Linked DNA regions of Pelodiscus sinensis. The protein of the gene in region 1 purifies or fractionates together with the protein of each later gene. This does not show direct contact. Links are inferred from orthologs where the notes say so. Each region holds a gene or a part of one and is shown on either strand. Other genes may lie near its edges. The genes, in order: CAMK2D and WDR76.

Evidence for each region.
Region 2: the proteins of CAMK2D (region 1) and WDR76 purify together in Homo sapiens (affinity purification with mass spectrometry; 3 studies listed by BioGRID and IntAct, counting the BioPlex papers as one, with this or other methods). This does not show direct contact. The link is inferred for Pelodiscus sinensis from reciprocal best matches to the Homo sapiens genes CAMK2D and WDR76.

The regions. Positions count from the first base shown.
Region 1 is NC_134715.1:32,403,152-32,415,092, reverse strand, and holds the start of CAMK2D (calcium/calmodulin-dependent protein kinase type II subunit delta), read left to right. Parts: upstream 1-6,818; 5' UTR 6,819-8,061; coding exon 8,062-8,129; intron 8,130-9,442; coding exon 9,443-9,537; intron 9,538-11,941. UniProt on the Homo sapiens protein: Calcium/calmodulin-dependent protein kinase involved in the regulation of Ca(2+) homeostatis and excitation-contraction coupling (ECC) in heart by targeting ion channels, transporters and accessory proteins involved in Ca(2+) influx into the myocyte, Ca(2+) release from the sarcoplasmic reticulum (SR), SR Ca(2+) uptake and Na(+) and K(+) channel transport.
Region 2 is NC_134724.1:294,735-307,383, forward strand, and holds the start of WDR76 (WD repeat-containing protein 76), read left to right. Parts: upstream 1-5,882; 5' UTR 5,883-5,991; coding exon 5,992-6,039; intron 6,040-6,665; coding exon 6,666-7,079; intron 7,080-9,410; coding exon 9,411-9,503; intron 9,504-11,440; coding exon 11,441-11,496; intron 11,497-12,649. UniProt on the Homo sapiens protein: Specifically binds 5-hydroxymethylcytosine (5hmC), suggesting that it acts as a specific reader of 5hmC.

The DNA.
Region 1 (11,941 bases):
ACGATGTCCTGCTTCCGAGAGTGATCCGCCTGGCGATGTGGATGCTATGCTGGCCGGCTTCACTGCCCTCGGGTTCCCCAACTGCGGGGGAGCCCTGGATGCAACCCACATCCCCATCCGTGCCCCGGAGCCTCGAGCAGCACATTTCACAAATAGGAAGGGGTACTAATCGATTGTTCTCCAGGCCCTCGTGGACCACCGGGGCCGCTTCCTGGACGTGTATGTGGACTGGTCCGGCAGGGCATGATGACCGCATCCTCCACAACTCCAGACTGTTTCACAGGTTGGAGGCGGGCAGCTACTTCCCCCAGTGGGAGTTGACTGTCGGGGATGTGCCTATGCCCATCTGCATCATTGGGGACGCGGCCTACCCCCTGCTGCCCTGGCTAATGTGGCCCTACACAGGGCGGCTGGACCAGAACCGGGTCCGGTTTAATGATCACCTCAACCGGGCCCGGAATCAAGTGGAGTGCGCTTTCGGCCGCTTAAAAGCCCACTTCCGTTGTTTGCTCACCCGTCTCGAGATGGGTGAGCGGAATGCAATGGAGGTACTAGCCGCGTGCTGCATGCTCCACAACATTGTGGAGCGGAGCGGGGAGGCCTTCCTCCCCGCATGGATGGCAGCCGAGGCACAGACTTACGAACAGCCTCACACAGCTGCCATCCACCAGGCGCACCAGGATGGGGTGCACATCTGAGAGGCCCTGACGGGCATGTTCGCACAGGCCCCATAGTAGGGTCACCTCGGTCTCCCCATACAACTCCCTCCCATCTCCTCCCCTTCCCCTCCCCTTACCTCCCAATAAAAAACAACACAGTTTGGTTTTCAACTGAAAAACTTGTATATTTTTATTTACAAGAGGGAGAGGGGGAGAAGACCTTCAACTGGGAGGGGGAGGAGCTACTCCTGGGAGGGGTGGCCCCTGCGACCGCTCCTGCGAGGGCAGACCTGGACATGGGGGTCAGGCCGCATCAGGGCAGGCTGCACAGGGAGGTGGGCAGGAGGGGCAGGAGTAGGAGGGGCAGGAGGGGTAGGGAAAGGAGCAGGAGGGGCCATTGCAGGAGGGGCAGGCGCAGTGCTAGGGGAAGGATGGCGGGGGCGTGGGACAAGGGCATGCCACAATGTATGGCATGGCCAATGTGGGCAGTGAGGGTGGTGATGGAGTCGGCCATCCTCACACTGGGCCTGGAAGGCGGCCCAGGCCTCCTGGCGCCACTGCAAGTCCCCCTCCATGCGCCGAGTGATGGCAGCCTCGACGCGCTTGCCAGCCTGCAGGTGGCACCAAAGGAGCTGGTCCTGGTGGCAGAGCCTCTGCCTTGGTGGTGGGCGGCCGGGGGTGCTGCTGTTGCCAGACTGGAGGGTCCCTGGCTTGTGCTTGGTCCCGCTGCAGGGAAGAAAAGAAAGGATGGGTCAGTCAGGCAGCCCAGCCACTGTCCCCACACCTCACGCCCTCCACCCCTGATCCCAGGTGACACCACAGTAGTGTGGCTTGGGCCCACTCGGTTACCCCTCTGCCCCCCCGTGTTGTATGTTTGCATAGAGGACTGCCCCTGGAGTAGGGTCCTCCTCCATGTATTGTAACCACCGGTCTGTGTCCTGGCTCCTTGGGGGGTGGGAGGGCGCTTGTGTTGTGTTCACCTGTGGAACTCCCTGCTGGTGGAGGCTGTGAGGCTTTGGGCCAATCAATGGTGTTTGACAGGGAGCGAGATGAATCCCCACACAGTGCTTGGGAGCACATCTGGCAGACGTGATCTGGGCTCTCAGATCCCCATCGCGTGGGATATCCCCTGGACGGAACCAGGAGAGTGACTGGGGGGGGAGGGGTGTCCCATCTTTGCAGCAGAACTCAGGCGGCCCTAGGGGTGGCCCGAGCACTTCCCCCCCTTCTCCCTCACACTATCCCTCACACATGTAGCCCAGGGACATGTGTGGCCGCAGTGGGGCCTTCCCTTGGGGAGCCAGCCAAGGCACCAGGAGCAGGCGAGAAGCTCAGTGGGGGCCACGTTCACAGGGCTGTGACACTGCGGTTTTCCCAGGAGCAGCTGGCTGTGCCTGACAGCCAGGCCTGGGACAGTGTTGCTGTTCTGCGTGCTGCACCCTTGCGGAGGTGCGAGCTCTGGCCTGAGTCCCTGGGGCCCTGGCTGGTTCCAGCCGGCACCTACCCTTTCCCCTGGTCCCGCTGGATGCGTGTGAGCAGCACGGTCCCAGGCGTGCCCTGGAGCTGCCTGCCGCGGCCACATGCCACTCGGTCACCAGGCTGCACGTGGTTACACGTGCTGCTTACTGCCTAATGCTACACAGCATGCAGGTCACGTGGCCTGATGACATGCTCTCTCCCTCCTCCCTCCGGGCGCCTGGCTTCTCACCCGCCCCCCCCCCCGTCCTTGTGAGTGCAAAGTGCAACACGCACCAGTGGATCCTTCCCCGCCTCCGAGGATGCGCGGGAGACGTCAGAGCTGCCGGAGGGAGCCTGCTGGGTGGCAGTGCCGGCCTCATCCTCTGATGCACTGCTGCTGTCTCCTTCCCCAGTCTCGGTGGTCCTGGTGACGGGGGGGCACATGCTGCTGTCAACGGGGACCTCCAGGGCTTGTGGGGCTGGCTCGCCCAGGATGGTGTGGAGCTGTTCGTAATGGGGGCAGGTGTCGGCTCCTGCCCCCTGGCCCTCGCTGGCCTGGACGTAGCCCAGGCGCAGTTCTTTAGCCCGGACTTGCTCGAGGGTCCGGGCTGGATGGCCCTGCTGGGTGAGCACCTGGGCCATGCGAGAAAAGATCTTGGCATTGCGGCGCCAGGAGCGGGTCTCGTGGAGGGCCACAGGTTCAGGAGGGCTTCCAGCTACCCCGGGGACCAGGATGGGGCCCATCTCTTTCTGGCCCTGGGGGCCTCCTGTGCTGGGGGGGCGGGTGGCTGATCCCCACGTGGATCTGCCATCATGCTTGGAGGGGTGTCTGCTCGACAGCAGAGGCCACGTGGCAGAGCTGTGGCCAGAGGGCTCCTGCCTGGTGACCTCAGCAGCCTGCATCTGCTTTAAGAGGGATCAGATTACCAGGAAGTCCGAGAGCTGATTGTGGCTACGGAGCCTCTGAGCATCCATAGGGCTTTTTTCCGTTTAACCTGCTTTTGCGCAAAACGTCTTAGCTGCCTGTCGACACTGGCCCTTTTGTGCAAAAACATTTCCGGAAAAGGGCTTTTGCCCAAATGGGAATGTCAAAGCATTTGTGCAAGAAGCACTGATTTTGGACAGCAGAACGTCAGTGCTTTTGCGCAAAATCAAGCGGCCACTGTGGACAGCTGGCAAGTTTTTGCGCAAAAGTGAAAACTTGTCAGTCTAGACGCAGCCCAGTTGTTTACACTCTCTGCTGAACAGGCAATGTTGGGGTGAAGGAACATGGTGCAAATGTTTTGTACCTGGTCATATTTATGTTTACAAAGGCCACACCTTCTTCCTTTGTGCTGAGAACAAAATGAACCTTGGGGTCGGCATCTTTGCCTGACGAACATTTCATCCAGTGGAAACATAACTCCAAAGTGGATTCTGTGCTCTTTGCATCACTGCAGACAAAAACTACATTAACTCTCTCTTGTAGTGAATAGACAAGATAGGGGTTGTAGGCCCTGATTTTGTAACTTGGTTGCTTAGTGTTAGTGGGAGATTTAGGTTCTTATTACACATGTAAGCCAAAATGTAAATTTTGGCTAACTTTTAGACACCCTACATTAAATATTTTAACCTCAAGGCGCAAATTGAATTTTACAGTCAACATGTAATGTGGATTTATCAGAATTTAAATAGTGCTGTTTTAAACACTGTGGCTACGTCTAGACTGGCATGATTTTCCGCAAATGCTTTTAACGGAAAAGCACTTTTTGCGGAAAAGTGTCCGTGCCAATCTAGATGCGCTTTTCCGCAAAAAAGCCCCGATCGCCATTTTAGCGATCGGGGCTTTTTTGCGCAAAACAAATCTGAGCTGTCTACACTGGCCCTTTTGCGCAAAAGCTTTGCACAAAAGGACTTTTGCCCGAACGGGAGCAGCATAGTATTTCCGCAAGAAGCACTGATTTCAGACACTAGGAAGTCAGTGTTCTTGTGGAAATTCAAGCGGTCAGTGTAGACAGCTGGCAAGTTTTTCTGCAAAAGCAGCTGCTTTTGTGGAAAAACTTGCCAGTCTAGACACAGTCTGTGTATATTATTAATTCCATTGATTAGGTAATTAGCAATTGCTGTTAATCAAACAGGGAAAGAACTGAGAAAGAGAGGTGAAATTAATTCTGCTCAGCCTAGCCTCATTCATCTAGAAAATCATTGTTGTACTTGATATTTGGCCAGGACGCTGGGGTTAATAGTCTGGTATTTTAATAATCCTGAGTGGGCAGGGAGGTTTTATAGGTTCAGAGGGTTTAAGACCAGAAGGGATCATTAGATCATTTAACCTCCTGTTTAACTAATGCCATTAAAATTCATCTTTAATTATCTTATAACCATGTCTTTATTACTATCTATCATTAACTAGAACTCTATTGTATTATTATTTGTACCTAAGTGATGCCTAAGAACTTTAATAATAGACAAGCATGTTAGTCATAGACCTCTCTACCCCATTCTTTTGTGCCCAAATAAGAACACTAACCTTAGTGACATTTCCTAACTTTGAGTGCCTAACTTTGTAACCTGAATCATGTTGTGTTAATGTATAAACGGACGGTGCATCTAGACTGGCAAGATTTTGCGCAAAAGTGGCCACTTTTGTGCAAAAACTTGCCAGCTGTCTACATTGGCTGCTTGAATTTGCGCAAGAGCACTGATGATCTAATGTAAGATTATCAGTGTTCTTGTGCAAATACTTTGACGCTCCTGCTCGGGAAAAAGCCATCTTGTGCAAATGTATTTGCGCAAGAGGGCCAGTGTAGACAGGGAAGGAATTTTTTGTGTAAGAAAGCCCAGATGCGCAAAATGGCAATCGGGGCTTTCTTGTGCAAAATCTTGTCTATACTGGCCACAGACGTTTTTGTGCAAAAGCAATTTTTGTGCAAAGGCACCCGTGCCAATCTAGATGCTCTTTTGCAGAAATACTTTTAACGGAAAAACTTTTCCGCTAAAAGCATTTCCGCAAAATTATGCCAGTCTAGACGCAGCCGGACAGTCCCGCTACCCAGAACTGAGAGCAGATGGAGCATGCTCAGGCTCTGCGAGCTAAACACCCTCCTAAGTCTAGTCAGCAGTAGCACAATCAGCTGGGAGGGTTTGGCCAGAGCATGCTGAATGAGGCCAGATTCTTCAGAGTTTCTTGCTACTAAAATTAAGTCCCTGCTGACCATGCACAAACTACAACTGGGGCTAAATGTCATGAGGTGGCAAAAAGGACATCGTTGACACAAGGGCCATCTTTCCACCAAATGTCAAGTCTGTTTTCTAAAGCTCCAGGGCACTCCAGCTTGTGAAAGCAGGCTCTTTGCTGGCCAGGCCTCTCGCGCGTATTGCCATCCAAGCAAAAGGTCAACTTCCCCTTGATGAAAACCCTTACACTATGTAACTTAAAGATCAGCGACGAATAGGAACCAAAACCAGACCCAAAAAGTTCATGTAAAGTTCATGCTGGTTGTGCCATGTCCGATAAGGCAGAAAAGGAAAAACAGGAAACCATCTCATCCCCTTACTCCTGTCACTTAACAGCTAGCCTATCACAAAAAGCGCACAAAAGCTTTCTCTATAAAACAGCTTCCTCTCCTGTATCAAATTGAGGAATCCCGAATAAACATTGGATGGCGGAATACGAGCCAGGTCCGAGGACTGATCACCCGAGGGCCACCTCCCGCTCACCGAACCAAACGAGTTCCTGTAGAGTGTAACGTATACCAAACATAACAAATACCAAATATGTTGTTGTAGTTTGTGTGTCTGTTAAATGTAAGTATTGTTATCTGAAATTGTTTAGAGGTATTGTTAAGTAGTAGTGTTAAAAGTTTTAGATAAATGATTAGTCTTATAAGTAAGACTGATGTAAATGTAACTGTTAATAATCCCTAGTCCCTTGTTAACAACTATTGGGATTTAGAGAAACCTCAAAGAATTTTCTTCTCTGTATTGCATTTTGCTTATTGGACAGTCTAATAATTATTTGGTGCCTATGTATGTAAGAAATTGATAAATTATGATTTTATACAAAGCCCTTTAATAAAAGTTTAAAAGATATTTAGTAATAGTTTGCCTGTTTCTGCGCCTTCCTGGGACTAGCCACATTTCCGAACCTTTTACTTTAAACCACACAGCTGTTTGAAGAAAAGGTCAGCAGAATGTTTCCATATGGGCAAAGAACGGATTTTTCCCCCAGCCTTCCAGGTTAGTAATTGGTTGAATTGTTCTGGCTGATTCCCCCCCCCCCCCCAAGAAGAAATAAAATACACCATTAAATGCCTGCAGCCGGAGGTGTACAGACACTTCACCATGTACAACTCCGGATTACAAGGTGGCAAAATGAAGCTGAAAACAGGATGCTGTGCACATTTATTCAGAAGCGATTTACTGCAATTCGCCGGGCGCTAAGCCAGATTGCCAGTGAGGAGTGAGTCGCTGAAGCTGGGAAAGCTACAAAGAAGCGCCCATGCGGTTTTGCAGACTTGGGGGGAGGAAAGACGCTTGGCGCCCCCAGGCAGAGACCTCTCCCCACGCGGACGCATCACGCCAAGCCCGCCTCCCTTGCAGCGGCGCTAAAGCCCGCGCCCCACCGCACGCTGGAGAGCAGAGAGCGTCTCCAGACGGGGGCGGGGGTGTTAACTAGCTCACTCGCTCCTGCCCCGCCCCAACCTAGAGCCAAGTCTCGCGAGAAGCAACACGCGCTGCCCTAGAGGAGGCTGCCTGGAACGCGCCCGGGCTGCGTGTCAATTATGACGCTTCGGAATGGAACGCGGCGAAGGGCGGAGGCAGGCGCGCGTGCGGTGGGCTAGGGGGAGGTCCTGCGCGGGCCGCGCGCAGCTGGCAGCCCGCGGGCGGAGGTCAGGCGGAACGTCCTCCAGCTGTGGACTAAGCCCACGTGCCTCGTTGGCAGCGGGGAGGCTGTGCAGCTGCTGCAGCGAGCCGCGCCGCGCGGGGAGCTGGCAGCCGGCTCCCGGTACACAAAGCAGCCCCGCCACTGAGCTCTCCCCTCCGCTCCTGCCTGGGGTAGGCTCACGCCCAGCCTCCGCCGCGGCGAGCGGAGCGCCGCTGTGTTTCAGTGAGACATTCACCCTCCTCCTCCTCCTCCTCTCCCGCTGCTCGTGCCCGGCGGCCGCGCTGGGAACGCTGCTAGGGGAGAACCGGCCAGGCTCCTTGGGAAGGCGAGGGAGTGGCCGCAGAGACTGTCTTCGGGGGAAAGCCCCCCGAGAGCTCGCAGCCCCCCCACGTGTTGCGCACCGCTAGAGGGAGCCGTGCCCCAAAGAGAGGGAGACGAGGACGGCAGAAGCAGCTGCCGCAGGAGGAGAAAGACCCCCCCCCCCCCTCCGCTACCTCCAGCTACTACTTCTGCTCGGTCTGCTCCCCCCACCCTAGCGCTGCGCTGCTGCTGGCTGTAGCGGCGGCCGGGCGAGCCGCACAGAGCTCCCCACAGGCCGGCGGCTGCTGCTGCCGCGGTCAGGGCCCAGCCCCGCGCGGAGCAAAGGCGGAGTGGACCGGGGCAGCTGCGGGGTTCCAGTTCCCCGCTCCTCCTCCCACCAGCCGCCCAGCTGTTTTATTCTTAGTCACTGCTGGCTGGGCTGCCTCTCGCCTTCCCGCGCTGCCTGTCGGCTGGTTTTGGTTTCCCTTTCGCGGGCCGTTTCCTCTCCAAGCCCGACCTTTGAGGGGCTTATACTGAAGCAGAAGGACTAGGGGAGGGACGAGCGGCAAGGACAGCTCGCCCGGCGGCGTGGAGCGCCCCACCCGTCCGCCCAGCCCCAGCCGACTATCCAACAAGAAAGTAAAGAAGCCAGCAAGGGTGACGCCGACTCGCCGGGAGGAGAAGAAGCGCGGCTTCTCTCCCGTCTCGCCTCCGGTCCGCCCCCCTCTTCCCAGTCCCTCTCTGCCTCCGAGGCACCGGCAGGAGCAGCCTGGACTCATGATGGCTTCAACCGCTACCTGCACCAGGTTCACCGACGAGTACCAGCTCTTCGAGGAGCTTGGAAAGTAAGCGCCGCGGTGGGGGAAGGGGTCGAGGGGAGGAGGGGGATTTCGGTTGGGAGCAAGGGAAGTGGTTTGACAGGTTGCGGCTGGGCAAAGTTGTGGCTTTTGTTCGGAATGGGGGTGGTGGCTGCTGCCTCAGATCCTTTGCAAAGGAGTCTTCATTGCATTGCTAAGCTCTGCAGTTGGAGTTGTCCTAGGGGGAGGGAGGATTCAGCTCCATGCACGAATCTAAAGGATAAATGCATAATTTTTAGACACAGCTGCCTAGCTTGCTTTGCATGCTTGTCTGTTTTATACTTGATACAATTAGGTGCTACGTTTATTGAGGCAGAAAGTTCAGCTGGATGTACAGTATCTCTTGCATCCAGTACTTCCAATGGGGAGGAAGGGCGACCCTCCCCTCCCGTCCTCTTGTTATTTGTGAAGAATTATTGTTGTTCTTGCTGGTAATGTCACATTGCATCTATCATCTCTTCAGGATTTACGGCCACCATTCTCACTAGGGTAAGAGAAACCCAAGGTAGATGAGAGAGCTCTGCCCATGGTCAGAAAAGCTGCCCGGTTTATGTAGACACTCAAAAATATATCCAGACATTCATACATTATTCACACACAAGCTGATGGCTGTGTATTGTTCATACTTGAAATTAACTATTCTCTACTCTCCAGTTTTTTTTTTGCTTTCTGTTTAAATTGAGAATTCATTGGTGTGTCATTTTGTTATGTAAATGACTTGAAAAGGCTTGTGGGGATACCATTTGGTATCAAAAACATGGAGAATGTTGTAAACAGCAGTGTAATTCAAATGCTCCTTTTCTGCAAGGAGTAGGATGTCCCTGTGTAGCGCTGTGTTCATTAAGATACACTTCTTACTCACATGAATGAGCTCTGTTTAAATTTAATTAAATATAATAGCCACATTGACAAAGCCGGAGGTGTAATTTTTACACAGGTTTGGTTTTGTTTTTTTACACTTAACAGGTTTGATTACTGTAATGTAGTCAGGGAGCAGTTGAGGCTTTTGAGTCGAGGAACAGTGAAATGTGCAAGTTTCTGGTGTGTAAATACCATCACTTACAGTTTTCTGGACATATATTAAAACTGCTTACCGTGACTTGTGGTCACTTTTATATTTTAAATCCAGTTAATTGTTGTAGTCTATAAAATGAATAATGATTGCCATTTCGTGCTCATTTGCCTGTCTCTTACATCCACAATATGCATTTCAATCAAATCAGTTAAAACACTCACATTATTAGAATCATTATCAATATTATAGCTCCTGTGCTGATGTTTGTCTGGTTATTGGTTTTCAGGGGGGCATTCTCAGTTGTAAGAAGATGTGTGAAAATTCCTGCAGGACAAGAGTATGCTGCCAAAATTATCAACACCAAAAAGCTGTCTGCTAGAGGTGGGTATTTTTCAACCCAATGTTTTCTGTGTCTGTGTCTCCCTGTCTTCATCCCCAGTCTCCCCTCCCTCCCCCTTTTTTTTGTTTTTGGCTTAGTAGTATATCTAAGCATTTACACACTCAGGAGACATTTTATTTTTTCTCCTTATATTTTCCATTTCTCTAACATACTGATTAGATATTCCATGTTGATGAATAACGTTTGGCAACGCTTAGATATGAGATTACTGTTCTGCCATGCTAAAAGGAAAGACATACACATTTCAAAGCATTGTTAAAAGCTTTTTGTGAGTGATTTTGAGCTTGGAATGTTATTTTCTTGTATTTTTTGAGAACGCACTCCTGTAGCTTTTATTAAAAGAAATAGGTCAAAGCTTAATTGAATCTCATTCTTTCATTGTATTTAAATAAGAACATAATTCATCAAGCCATATTTAACAGTGAACGCCTTTAGGGAAAAAAACTGATCTGCTGCCCATACAGTTTTTCAAATGAAGATGATGTGTAACAGGGTAGACATTTTATGAAGTAACTATTTGTGTACCAAGTAGTGATGTTTCAGTGAAGCATTTGTACTGTTATTTCTCTCATGGACACATTTTTTTTCTCCTTTTATTTTATTTTCCTTATGTGGTGTAAATGTGGGTATATATTACAACTGTGTAGCTGTGTGCATGTATACACGCTGTCAGTGGCGCTGTGCTTACACAACATTAAACAAACAACATTAAATAAACTATGTATTGTGTTAGGACTGCTGAAAATAGGTCTCATACTTATTCTTTGGCAAATCCACACTAACCTGCTTGTACTAGGATGTTAGGGATTAAGGATTATTTTCTGCTAACATAACATTATCTTTATTTTCATATGAATTTTTGGCCCTGTGATGAGCATGTAAATTGAGTAAACAAACAATGTCAGCGTCTAAACCTTCTTGCGTGGCTTGGCTTACGATTTATACAAGGAGAGTGTTGTATAGTAACAGCACTCATATGCAATGAGTTAATGAAATCAAAGAATGCTAATATATGGTAGCAGAGCTATAACTTTTAATGCTGCTCTAACACCTTTTGTATGATATAATCTTATTTTCAACTCCGTAACGGTGTAAAAGTTTACTTTTCACTTACTCTTCGTCTTCAGAATCTTAGTGTGAGATTTTTTTTTCTTTTCTAGATTTATAAAATCATATTTCTAATGAGTGTTGCTTTTTAGGATTTGGCTTATTTTGAATGGGGGTGTATGAAAATAAATGAAAGCTTATTTGACAGAACTATTTTTATTTAAATACATTTTGATTTTAAATTACTTTTTTCAGTTTGTTTAGATATGTAAAATAAAAAACAACCAAAATATTGACATTAAAACAGAGAAATGTTTACAAAGTCCCTCTAGTCATAAGAGACTGTCATCACTGGATTGTTAATAAATTATGGTTGTATGTATCGTATATGATTTAAATATATAAAAACTTAAACTCAGGTGTATTACAGTGAAGAAACAGAACACTTTATTAAAGTAAATTTTAAGAGTCTGCCTCAAATGCCTAAAAAGGAGCATAGCACATAGTAAATGCTTCTAATTTTCACTTCTTTTACATGGATTTATCTAGACTTTGGAGCACATACAGGACCAAATTGATGTGTGGTGAATTCTGTTAATGTAAATGGAATTTTACCAAGGAAATTGAGAGCGTAGTATGCAGTGTAACATCATGCACATATATTGGATTTCTGCGTTAACGGTACCAAAGAATTCAACTCCGAATTCCCTTCCTTTTGTGGATTTAAAGTTTAAACCTGGATACTAACTTGTGGTCATGTCATTTTCCTTACATATCTGTGTGTATACACGATATATTTTCAGTGGATGTAAGTGTATAGGGGTAGACCATACTAACTGTCCAGCTTTGTCTGTTCAAATTTGCACAAATACAGTAGTTTTGTCATTCGTCAGGCAACTTTCACAGAGCTAGTTTTTTCAGGGCTCTTCTGAAATTGCTAGTAGTTTTTGCTTCCAATTCTATTGCAAGTATTATGGTCCATATACTATGTCAAAAATGTACTTCATCCCAATGCACAGGGTACATACAAGGCACTTTGCAGAGGTGAATTTCCCACATGGTGACTGGTTCTCTTTGTTTAGCTTGCTAAATTGGCAGTGTTCAATAAGCCTTTTGTTTGCATTATTGAAGGAGAGGTATTTTAACATATGGAAAAATATTGTCTATTTTATTAAGTTTGTATAAAACAGTAATAATATTATTAGTTATGGTTTCATTTAGTGTTGTCCAGTCAAACAGCTTTTTCTCCACATGTATTTTCTTGGAGTATATATATTTGAATGCTTCGATTCATAGACTTCCCAACATGAAATATTGATCTGGTCATACAAAGTTGTC
Region 2 (12,649 bases), on another chromosome or scaffold:
AGATATCTAATGTTGACATTGACGACCCAGCACCAAAACAGAATTGACTTCGCTATCACCACCTGAAATGCAACCCCCACCTTTTCCATTATTTTTAATGGGAAAATTGACCCTGCATAGCATGCTTTTGCTTAGCACAAACATTTTCAGAAATGCATCTATTGTGTTAAATGAGGAATTACTGTATTAAAAACTTGAGTTTTACTATTATTGTCCATTGGTTTTTCCTAGGTTGACGGGACCCTCAGATAACTGGAACTTTTAGATAACCGGAACGCCCTAATCCCTGAGTGACGGATAACACAGAATTTACTGTACTAGAAAACTGCTATCAAGTCCCCTTTCAGTCTTCTCTTTTCCAATCTAAACAAGCCCAATTCTTTCAGTCTTCCCTTATAGTTCATGTTTTCTAGACCTTTAATCATTTTTGTTGCTCTTCATTGCACCTTCTCCAATTTCTCCACATCTTTCTTGAAACGTGTTGCCCAGAACTGAACACAGTACTCAATTGAGGCCTAATCAGCGCAGAGTAGAGCAGAAGAATGACTTCTTGTGTCTTGCTCACAACACTCCTGTTAATGCAGCCCAGAATCATGTTTGCTTTTTTTGCAACTGTCATACTGTTGACTCCTATTTAGCTTGTGGTCCATGGTGACTCTCTAGATCTTTCTGCAGTACTCCTTTCTGGACAGTCACTTCTCATTCTGTATGTGTGAAACAGATTGTTCCTTCCTAAGTGGATTTGTCCTTATTCAACTTCATCCTATTTACCTTGGACCATTTCTCCAGTTTGTCCAGATCTTTTTGAATTTTGACCCAATCCTCTAAAGCACTTGCAACTCCTCCCAACTTGGTATCATCTGCAAACTTAATAAGCACACTCGCTATGCCAATATCTAAATCGTTGATGAAGATATTGAACATAACAGGTTCCAAAACAGTCCCGAGGAACCCCACTTGTTCTGCCCTTCCAGCATGATTGTGAACTGTTAATAACTACTCTCTAAGTCAGGGGTGTCCAAACTTTTTTCAAAGCGGGCCAGATTTGAAGAAGTGAACATGCGTCAGGGCCGTCCCCGCACTCTCAGCCCCAAGGCGGAGGGCCCGCAGGGTCGGAGGCGGGCGGAGAGCGCAGGGCACGCTGGCCTCATGGCGGCCAGGGGGCAGGGCGAACCTGCAGCCGAGCGGGGGAGCGGGGCTGCGGACGTGCCCTACAGGGCAGGCTCTAGGACCGCGGAGGCCATGGGCGGCGGCGTGGCCGGAAGCGGCGCGCTGGGCTCGCCAGTTCAAAAGAGCGCCGGGGAGCCAGGAGAGGGGGAGGAAGCGGGGGCTGTATTAAATCGGAACACGGGCCGCAATTGGCCCGCAGGCCGGACTTCGGACATGCCTGCTCTAAGTGGTTATCTAGCCAATTACACACCCACCTTATAGTAGCCCCATCAAGGTTGCATTTCTCTAGCTTATTGATAAAAATGTCATGCGAGACTGTATCAAAAGCTCTACTAAAGTCTAGGTATACCACATCCACTGCTTCTCCTGTGTCCACAAGACTTGATATCCTATGAGATTGCTTTGACATGATTTATTCTTTAAAAATCCATGCTGGCTGTTACTGGTCACCTTATTTTCTTCCAGATGTTTGCAGATGATTTCCTTAATTACCTGCTCCATTATCTTCCGAGGCACAGAAGTTAAACTAACTGGTCTGTAGTTTCCTGGGTTGTTGTTTCCCTTTTTATAGATGGGCACTAGATTTGCCCTTTTCCAGTCTTCTGGAATCTCTCCTGACTTCCATGAATTTTCAAAGATGATAGCTAAAGGCTCAGACACCTCCTCTATCAGCTCCTTGAGTATTCTAGGCCCTGGTGACTTGAAGACATCTAACTTTTCTAAGTAATTTTTAACTTTAACTTCTAAACCTACCCCATTTCCACTAGCATTTTCCATGTTAGGCATCCCTTCATCATCAAACTTCTTGGTGAAAAGTTTCCTCTTGTTGTTTCTCCTTCCTCACTGAGCAATGGGCTTATACTGTCCTTGGTCTTCCTTTTGCTCCTAATACATTTATAGAATATCTTCTTGTTTCCCTTTATGCCCCTAGCTAGTTTTAGCTCATTTTGTGCCTTTGCCTTTCTAATCTTGCCCCTGCATACGTGTGTTGTTGCTTATATTCATCCTTTGTCATTTGATCTAGTTTGCACTTTTTATGACTCCTTTTTGATTTTGCAAGATTGCTGTAACCAAAATGGTATTCCATGGTGGGGCAGTTTTGTTAACTGAGCTTGCGTACCTAGAATTTGTGGGGTGTGCCAACTGAACCATAGCAGTGCTTTGACTAGGTGCAAAGGGAGTACATTGCTCTGACAATCTACATTGTGTGCAAAAGCTTCAGAGGGGTAGCTGAGTTAGTCTATAGCTGGAAAAACTTAAACAACAAAGAGTCTAGCAGCACCTTAGAGAATAACAGAACATGTAGATGGTACCATGAGCTTTCGTGGGCACAGCCCACTTCTCTCCTCTTGCCCCGCACCAGATGGCTTGTAAAGTGATCACATACCACGTCTTATGGCACCTCAGAGACACAGTAAAAGCTTCAGGGGGAAGTCAGTTAGTCTGTGAGAGGAAAAACCCACTTCTTGCGCCTTAGCTTTTTCCCTCCAAGTATTACTACAGTGATAGGCATGTAAAGCGATGTGGACAAAAGCCAGCGAAATCTGGCAACCCTGCACATGGGCTATAGCAAACTATGTTTCACAGGCCACAGGTTACCCACCACTTTTACAGAAGTTTAGTGATTAATCATTGTAAGAGTGCTTTCTGTGAGCACTGCCTCTCTGATCTCACACACACAACTATGTGATGTTGCTCAAAACCATTTACCAGCTGTGATGGCTGGAGCCATAAACCTCATTGACCATACTTACAAAGGACGATATCCTTCATTAACTCTAGGTCAGCTAGATGGTCTTGAATTGTTTTCTACACAAAATCTAGGTCTCAGTACGAGTATTAGTTTTAGGTGTTAGATTTAGCTGTCTTCTGTTTGATTGTATTGGATATTTCCCCATGTCTGCTGGGTTTAGCAGCCCCTTGGGTTATCTGAAGGCCTTGTCTAGAATGTGTGTGAAACTTTGTGGTCTGCTCATACAGCGCCTATGTGTATGACAAAGGGCATTCTTTGGATCTTGGATTGTGCTGTCCTTTCCTGCAGAGGTTCAGAAAACCCTCTGTCCTCTTGAGAGCTGAACAGTCTCCATGTAGTGCAATTTATCAAGTGTGGAGGTATTGCCTTTCACCCCTATGCAGTTATTTAAATGCTTCAGAGATTTTTAAGATCAGAAAGGACTATTCAGACTCTCCTGCTCTTATTTCTAGTTTAAATTTGTCTAACTTAATTCCTTGCTTTGTTTTCTAGCTTTAAAAACATTTGGTAAATTCTGCTCTCTGAGTAGATGCTTGTAGACCACAATCAAGTCACCACTTAATCTTCTCTGTTGATAAACTAAATAGATCTTTCTTTAGTTTCATTAAAGCAGGTTTTTCATACTGCTAATCAAAGCTGTTTTCTGAACTCCCTCCAGTTTGTCAGCATAGGCTTCTTCCCATACATTGGCTTCACTTCCACCCTACCTAGGTTATTACATGGACTTCTCCACCTCTCCTAGGCAATGGAAAAACACAGAAATTCCCATATTTAAGATTCTCAATGAGATGACCAACATATGTGGTACTATAGATATACTTCCTGTGTTCCCACTGGTCATACATGCACATTAAACAAGCAAAAAAAACCAACCCCCACTTCAGTTGTACAGAACACCAGGCATTTCCTTGGCAAGGACCCATTCATTACCTTCTCGAAGATTTCCAAAGAGGAAGGGAAGAGTCTACTTAAAGGGTCCCTTGCCCACTTGTGAGTTTCCGAACTCAAATCAAAATGATGTGGATTCATGTTTCCAAAATCTGATAAATCTAAGAGACAACTGTGACGTAGTGGGGGTACCTGGCTGGTTTCTATGCTGCTGGCTCTGGGGTAACCCCCACTGGCTGCTGTGGGTACCACGACCCAGCAAAACAGGATGAGTCACTATGCAAACCAGTATGGCCAGACACCCCCCATGGAGAGGAACAGAGGAAGGTGGAATGCTGCCCTGGCTGGGGGGCAGGGCTGGAAGAGGGTTAGTTAGTTGCTGGCTGGGAGCATGGAGGAGACAGCCTAGGGAAAGGGGCTGGAATTTAGGGGCCCAGTCTCCCCCATCTCAAGGGGGCCTGAGGCAGCCTAGCCCAGCTCTGTGACCAGATTACATCTGTGCTGTGCTGTAACCTGGAGAGGCAATAAACTTCCTCTATTCCACCGGCTGGTGGAGTCTGTTTGTGCCATTTCGGGGTGCAGGAGACAGGGGACCCCCAACGTGCCGTCACAACTACTTACTGTCCTTCATTGCCAGAAGTTCTCATTCATATTTCCCTGGAGTTAATATTTAAGACTCTCAATGAGATGACGACAAACATCCTATTTTCCATCCTCATCTGGCAACACTGTTTAACCCGCTGAGGATAGTAAAGTCCCTCACCTGATCTCTACTCAACTCCTACATTTTCCAGTGCAGTACTGAGGCAGGTTTTGAATGAGCCAGGCAATGTGCTTTTTACCCATATGGTGCCATGCTATTCTAGTCTGATTGGCCATTACCACTGATTACATTTCATCCCATTATTTTTACCTATTACTCCTCCCTCATTAAATGCTTACTTTCTAATCCATCTCAATCACCACAGGATTATGTGCTTGCAGAAGCATGTTACTCCAGCTTGATTTTATTGAGTGTATGCTAAGACATTCCTGGGCCTCTGGCTAGAATTGCCAACTTGCTACTGACACACAAATGAACACACTTGCCTCCTGTTGTGTGCGTGCTCCATCCTGCCCTCATTTTCACCAGGCTGGCTCAGAGGGTTGGGGTGTAGGAGGGGGTGAGACCTCTGGCAAAGGGTATGGGGTGGGGCCAGAAAAGAGGTGTTCCAGGTGTGGGTAATATCCTGAGGCAGGGAATTAGGATGGGGACTGTAAGGGCTCTGGCTCGGGGCACATGGGGATGAGAGGTTTGGGGCTGCAGGAAGGGGCTCCCAGCTGGGGGATGGGACTGAGGGTTCAGGGTGGGGGCTCTGAGGGTTAGGCAGGGGGTAGGGATGCCAGTGAGACGGGGATCGGAGTTGGGTGGGGCTCCTGGCTCAGGCAGGGGGTTTGGGTGGGGCGAGGTGTCTGGGGCTCCCAGCAGAGAGGTGGGGCGAGGGAATCGGAGTTGGGAGGGGCTCAGTGCTGAGGCAGGGGGTTGGGGTGAGGGCTTCTAGGCTGAGGCAGGGGGTTCGGATGTGTGTGTGGTCCTGGGCTGATGCAGGGGGTTGGGGTGGGGGGGTTGGGATACGGGGGGGGGGGCAGAGGGGGTGTTGAGATTAGGGGTTGCCAGGTGTCCGGTATTGACCCGGACAGGCCGGTATTTTTGCCTCCTGTCTGGTAAAAAAAAATTCCGAAAATACCCAACACCTAAAATGTCCGGTGTTTTCTGATCCTCTCCCCTGCCAGGAAGCGAAACTACCAAACACCTGGCAACCCTACAACACTCAGCCCCGCCCCTGCCGCCCCCCAAAGGCTTGTCTTAAAGGGGCCATGCTGCTTTATTTTTAATTTATTTTTTTGCTTAATAATTCTCGGGGGGGGGGGGCTTTTTTTTTTGCTCAACTTTGGCCTCCCCCTTTTTTTTCCTCAACAGACTCCCCTCCTGTGCGCTGCAGTATGACCGGTTAACCCGGCTGGGAGCGCCCCGGACCCGCCCAGGCTCGAGCGAGCAGCCCTCGGGCCACGTGCGGCCCCGCTGCTGGGGGCGGGGCGGGGCATCCGAGCGGCCCCGCCCCCTGAGGGGAGCGGCCCCGCCCCCTTGCCTCAGCGGGAAGCGAGGCCCCGCCCCGCCGCTCTCCCGCGCTGCCGAGGCGATGCCGCGCGCCGGGGCTGAGGAGCCGTTGGCCCGGCAGCGGGAGCAGGTGGGTGCCCGGGCCGGCCGCGCGGGGGGGCGGGGAGGGGATTCTGGGCCCCGTCCCCGGACCCCGTCGGGCCAAGTCCCCCCCTTGTCCGGGCTCCTGCTGAGGGGGGGGGGCAGAGCCCGCCGGGCGCGGGCCGGATGCGGGCTCGCGAGCGCGGCGCCGGGCGGTGGGGGGGCCGCGCGCGCGCCAGGTGTGAGGGCCCCGCCCCGGGGGCAAGGAGCGCGCGCCGCGTCTGGCGTCCCCAGCAGCCGCGCTCCTGGTCCCGGCGCCGCGCGGGCTCTGCCCCCTGCCGGGCTGCCTACGCGTCTCCCCTGCAGAGCAGCTGGCGCCCCGCATGCTCCTTGGGTTTAAAGAGCGGTCCCCGACACGGCGCCACCGGGGCCAGCCCGAGCCATTCGTGTGTCCCCGGGAGCCCCCCCCAGGTGCCCGGAAACCCCAAAGGTTGTGAGCCCTGGTTCAAAGCTACAGACTAACAGTCACCCCACTTCTAGAAACCTGCCCTGGGCGCTGCTGTTAAAATGTTCCCGGGGCTAGTTATGTGCAGTCAGCTGATTGGAGACCAGTTACAGGAGCGGCCTTCTAGCAGAGTGTTCCTTTGTATTTTTTTTTCCACTTCATTTGTGTAGGAGCGTACACCGAAAGAAAACCCCAGCATGAGCTATGTATCAGACAAAGCTGAAAAAAGAGCAGTTTTTGGAAAACAAGTGAAAGTTCTTCTCACCCCCTTATTCACGGAAGGAGAGAAATGCAACAAACGTCTGCCCCAGAAACGCTTACTGGAAAAGTTTTCTAGTAATGAGGGCTCGTCAGAAAGAGAACCAAAAGTCAAAAAATCCTGTGATGATCTCACAAGTCTGCAAATAAGAGATGAATCCTACAAGGCTTCTTCCAGTCCACAAGAAGTAATCCCCGATACGTCTTCACTTCCTAATCAGAGTAGCATGGTGTCATCCACAAACACCTCAGTTATGGTTGATCGTGATTCAGAAACCAATGGGGACACAGACCATGAAGGAAGCAATTTGGATACCTCTTATCTGGTAAGAAGTCAAACACTGACTATTTTAGTGACTATGTACTTTTTCACACCTGCCAAGGGAGATGAGAAGCAAAAGGGGCAACTTCCCTGGTGCCTGGCAAATCAAAAAGGCTTGGGGTAGGCATGGCATGCTGGGAGAGACACTGAGGCTGTCTGAGGGAAGCTAGTCCCAGCCCTGCCTCTTCTGCCTGAGGCTCCACCCATTCCAGGGGTGTAGAGGGGACCAGAGAGTCTTTTGGCCCCACTGTCCTCTTAACTTTTTCAATATATTCTTAGCCTAGCCCTCCATTTATCCTATTTGGCATTTTTCACATTTTGAAATTTTCACATTTTGAAACTTCAAGAATTGATGACCTTATCTATAAGGAACTGTTTGCTCCCTAGAAAACATCAGAGAATAAAATTCTGCTGTTTTTAAGGAAATGCAGTGATTTACTTCATTTTTTTAAGATAGAAAAATAAGATCATGTTTTTTCATAGTTATTCAAGACGAATTATTCATTTTTACATTGCCCTCTGGATTAGATTTTTGGCTTACCAATATATATAGTTTTGTTTTTATTGGTTGTAGGTAAATATTACTGTTTACTTAGCATAATTAATGTTAAAATACTTGGTAACATATGAGAAGAATGGGCCTGAAGTTCCCCACCCCTGATTTAAAGAGTCTAGTAAAGACTTGCAAAATTAAACGCTGAAGTCAATCACGTCAACCACTGTACTCCTTACTTGAGGAGTAAGGGAAGTTAAGGGGAGTGTTTCTCCTGTTGACCTCCCTCTGTGTGGTGCCAGGAAATCGATGCAATTTATATAGCTGGAGTTCCATATTTTGCATCGATTTTTCTCCTCAAGAGTAGTCCTACCCTTAGATTGCAAGCTCTTTCCAGCTAATTCTGCCTTTTGTTCTGTAGTTGTAGAGGGCTGAGCACAATGGGTTCCTAGTCCATGACGAGGGCTCCTAAGTGCATTGGAAATCCAAATAATGGTTTTCAGAATGTACCATGTTTCCCTTATTTTGTAAGGTGACAAGAAATAGCACACAGCTTATTCCATTTACAGCCAGTATTTGGCTTATGAGTATATCTGAATAATTCCACTCTTATGAAAAAGTTAGTTACCTTTAGTTCTGAAAAGGAGTCAATTAATTTTTCTCTTCACAATAGTGAAGACAGCTATTATAAGACAGTCTAACACTGGTATTTTTGTACACTCTTCAGTGTATATAATTGCCTCGTGTTGTATGTTTTCGTTTCTTGTTTATCAGTGTAATATTAATTTGATTATTGAATAATTTTAACATCCATAAAGAACTTTGATACAATCTTTAAAACTCCCTAAGTGTGTGTCTGAGCTGTATGTATAAAACACTCCTATTCTGATACAAAATCATCTTGGCTTCTGTTGCTACATGAAATTAATAAAGGTTTTCTGAAGTTAGTGTACTGACTAGCTCCCTCACATTTTTCTTTAGCTCTTCAAAGTTCAGCAGGTGTGCTTTTAAGAAATGTAATTCCTTAAATATCAGTCTTTGGGGCTAGTGTTGTTTTATTCTTTCCTGTGACTGTATATCTTTATGGGGGGCAGAGAGAATGCTTCTGCAGTACAGTAAAATGAGGACTCTACAGCTTCTTTTTGTATTAAGGGCAAAATGCAAATTGCTAGTGACTGACCACGCTAATTGAACTCTGTTAAAGTACTACGGGTTGGACCTCCTTGGTCCAGCACCTTTGGGACCTGACCTATTCTGAATGAGGGAATTTGCTGGATCAGGGGAGCTCCCCTGCCACCGGCCTCACAGGACACTGCCCCTTCCTCTGGTTGGCTCTGCTCCAGCCCTGCTGGGACAGGGGTTGGGCTCGGCTCTGGCCCTGTTTGGGGCTTTCCGGTGATGGAGCTCCCCAGCTGCCATGGCCCTATTTGTCCTGCCTGGCTGGGGCTTCCCGGGGATAGGGCTCTGTGGCTGCCCCCACCGGGGTCTGGGTACTAGAGTTGTCTGATCCAGCAACATCTGTGATCCTGCTGGACCAGGGAGCCCCAGATTTAGGAGATTCAACCTGTACTGTCTAGTGAGTGTGATGTTTTGTTCTTATTCCTCCCAATTCATATTTTTACACTTGTTTGGAAATGGAGAAATATCAAGTACTCCTTAAAGTAAAATTTATTATAAGAGATGCTTGGAACCTAAAATCTTGTCTCTTTATTTAAAGAAAAAGAGGCCATGTAACTTTATACAGAGAAGTATTGTCTCAACACTTCAGGCCTCTTAATGCACTCTGTGTACTGTCTTAAATGTTTGTGTACTGTCTTTATTACTGTTGTTTGTTTGGTGCAGGATGGATCTTCACAGCTGTCAGCCTATGAAAGAAAAAGACTGAAGAACATTATGGAAAATGCTAATTTCTTTGCTTCTCTAAAGCTGCTTGAGGTTTGTATTATGTCTGCCTAGAATAAGACCAAAATAATCATTCTAAATGTAATAGAAATTACCATACCAAAACTCACCCATAGTTCATTTAGTTATTAAATATGTCTCTAACAGTGTCCTACACCAGACACTTAAAAAAAACGCATAAAAATTTCATAACACAGCTGACTTGCAATGATATATCAGTGATCAGATTATGCTTTACACAGACTCTTTGATAGGACTTTAATTTGAATGGGATTTCATTCATTAATATTTATAAAGTACTCAAGTGCAGTCTATGCATTGGAAGAAGTAATCCAAACAAGTTAAGATTGTGACATTTTTAATGTTATCGACAGACACAGATACTCTTTTTCTCCTTTCCATATTCCTTTTCCTGTGTACTGTTCTGTTATTTCTCATAGGTCCACTCTTTGGCATTAAGAAGTAACTTTCTTCCTTGGAAGTCCACTCTTTTGCTCACTCAGAGCTGGCTCTGAGTCCCAGGTGCAGAAGCACAGAGTGATTAGAGAAAATCCCTCTAGTTGTTTCTGAGGAGCTAGCATGAGACGTGTTTAACCTCCCCAATTTCATCTGGCACATTGGACACCTACCTGTGCACACAAACTGCTCTAGAGTTCTGTATGTCTAAGGAAACGAAACAGTGAACAAGCATTCAGCTCTCTTCCAAATTGTTCTTTATCTTTGCATTTGTATGTTAATTCAAGTCCTCTACTGATGATAATTTTTGTGAGTAAAACTGCTGATAGTATAGCGCTTATATCTACCAATCTTCTTTTGAGTCTTACACTAGATGTGCAACTGATGAGTATATTTTATAAACAGTTGGCTAGATCTCTTCTAGTCCTATGGATTCTGTGAAGAGACAGACACATCTCATGTTATCGAGACTATTTCTGAAAGGCGTTTCTCTAACCTGCTCTTAAAAATCTCCAGCGATGGAGATTCTGTAGTGTCCCTAGGCAGCTTACTCCATTGTTTAACCATCCTGACAGGAGGTTTTTCCTAATGTCTAATCTAAACCTCCCTTGCTGCAATTTAAGCCCATTGCTTCCATCCTATCCTTAGAGGTCAAGAAAAACAATTCTCTCCCCTCGTCCCCTGCTTGTAACAACCTTTTAGGTACTTGAAAATGGTTATCATGTTCCCTCTGTCTTTTCTAGACTAAACAAACCCAGTTCTTTCAGTCTTCCTTCATAGGTCATGTTTATAGACCTTTAATCACTTTTATTGCTCTTCTCTGGACTTTTTGCCAATTTGTCCACATCTTTCCTGAAATGTGGCCCTCAGAACGGGACACAATAGTTCAGTTGCGTCCTAATCAGCACAAAGTAGAGAGGAAGAAGTAGTTCTTGTGTGTTACAGCACTCTTGCTAATGCATCCTAGAATGATGTTTGCTTTTTTTGCAACTGTGTCACACTGTTGACTCATATTTAGCTTGTGGTCCACTATGAGCCCAAATCCCTTTCTGCAGTACTCACTTTTGGATAATCATTTCTCATTTTGTGTGTATGAACAGAAATCAGTTGCCAAATCATTTTCTCTGGTGTTTCTTGTTTAGGATTTTGTTTTCCTTAGCACTGCAAGATGAATACAGCCATAGAATACCAAGATAGATAGTATTCTGTTCTTGTGTGTCACAAGATGCCCCAGAATTCAGTTAATTTGTTTTTATTTTATTTTTTTTGCTAGGGAGTAACAACTTGCAAATACAAAGACAGAAACAACACAGTTCAAGTTGCAGGTTTACTCTTTAGTTTGTAGAATTGGAAGTTAGGCAGATATGACTGGTAAACTGAATAAGTCAGATAATTGAGAGAGAATGAACACAGAAAACCTCATAATCATTAGTTTTCATAACTGTATTTCACAAAACCATTAAACACTTGTTCATCTGATTATTTTTCTTATATTTCTACATTTTTCTTTCAAGTCAGCTTCAAGACTTCGTGAAATAGCAACCAAAAGACAATCTCATGGAATCAAAAGGTAAAATAACCATATCTGAGAAACACACCAACATTTTTGCTACTTTTACTTTAGTATATGTACATGCAGCACATTTAAATTCAGATCTAGACCACCAATTACCTTAAACTATCCATGTAACTTCTCCATTGGTAAATTTTCACTTAGTGTATTTCTGTACTTCATCTTTTAAAAAAAATAGTAGTATGACTGTCTTTCTGGTGAAAATAGCATGAAAGTAATAATTATTTTTTCAGTGAGATTTCAAGAGCATCTTGTCCTTGTCGAGTCATAGAAATGTAAGGCTGGAAGGGATCTTGAAGTCATTTAGTGTGATATCCAACCTGATGGCTAAGAAGGAAAAAATCAGCCTGATAATGGAAAGAAGGGAAACGGACTGGAGAGGAAAAAAATAAAAAAAAAGGATAAAGGGGAACATTAGGAATAGCTATAATTAAGCAAAAACAGGAAAACAAGCTACAGTGTGGAGAGGAATAAGAATAAAATAAAATACAGTATGAAAGGTGATATAAAAGAAGATTATGATGTAGAATGGAAGCCTGAAAGACCGATTCAGTTTGTATATTTCAGCAACTGTTGGGTTAATAAAGTAAAGGTACGTGTGTTTTCAGGGTGTATTCAGGCATTTCTTAAAGAGGTGAGAGTTAAGCTTGCACGGGCAACCTTATGTTTGCATTTCCTGATTTCAAAGTTTTGGGTTTTGTTCCATTCACTGTTCTGTGAGAAGACAACATAAAGCGAAGCAGCTTTAGCGCTATATTATCTTAATTGTTTGCCACGCAATAAATAGCTAGAGTTGGGGAGAGAGGAGAACTTGGAGAGGGTAGATATAAATGAAAAGCAAGAGTGTAATAAAGATAAACATTCCTAGACGATGTCAACTAAAGACATGCTGGGGTGAAGTAAATTATTTTGTAAACAAACAGCTGTCAGGGTTGGCCTATGTATATTTGGTTCTGCTTTAGCACAGGAGCATGAACTACACATCCTCTTAAAGGTCTTATCCATCTCTACGTTTCTATGACTCTCTGAGCAAAAATGCATTTCTAGCACGAATCAAAGCGAGTGGTGTTTTTAATCGGGGTCAGAGTTCCAGAAATAAAGATCCAAACCTGTTTTGGATTCCTTTACCCTAGGAACACCTTGCTCATTT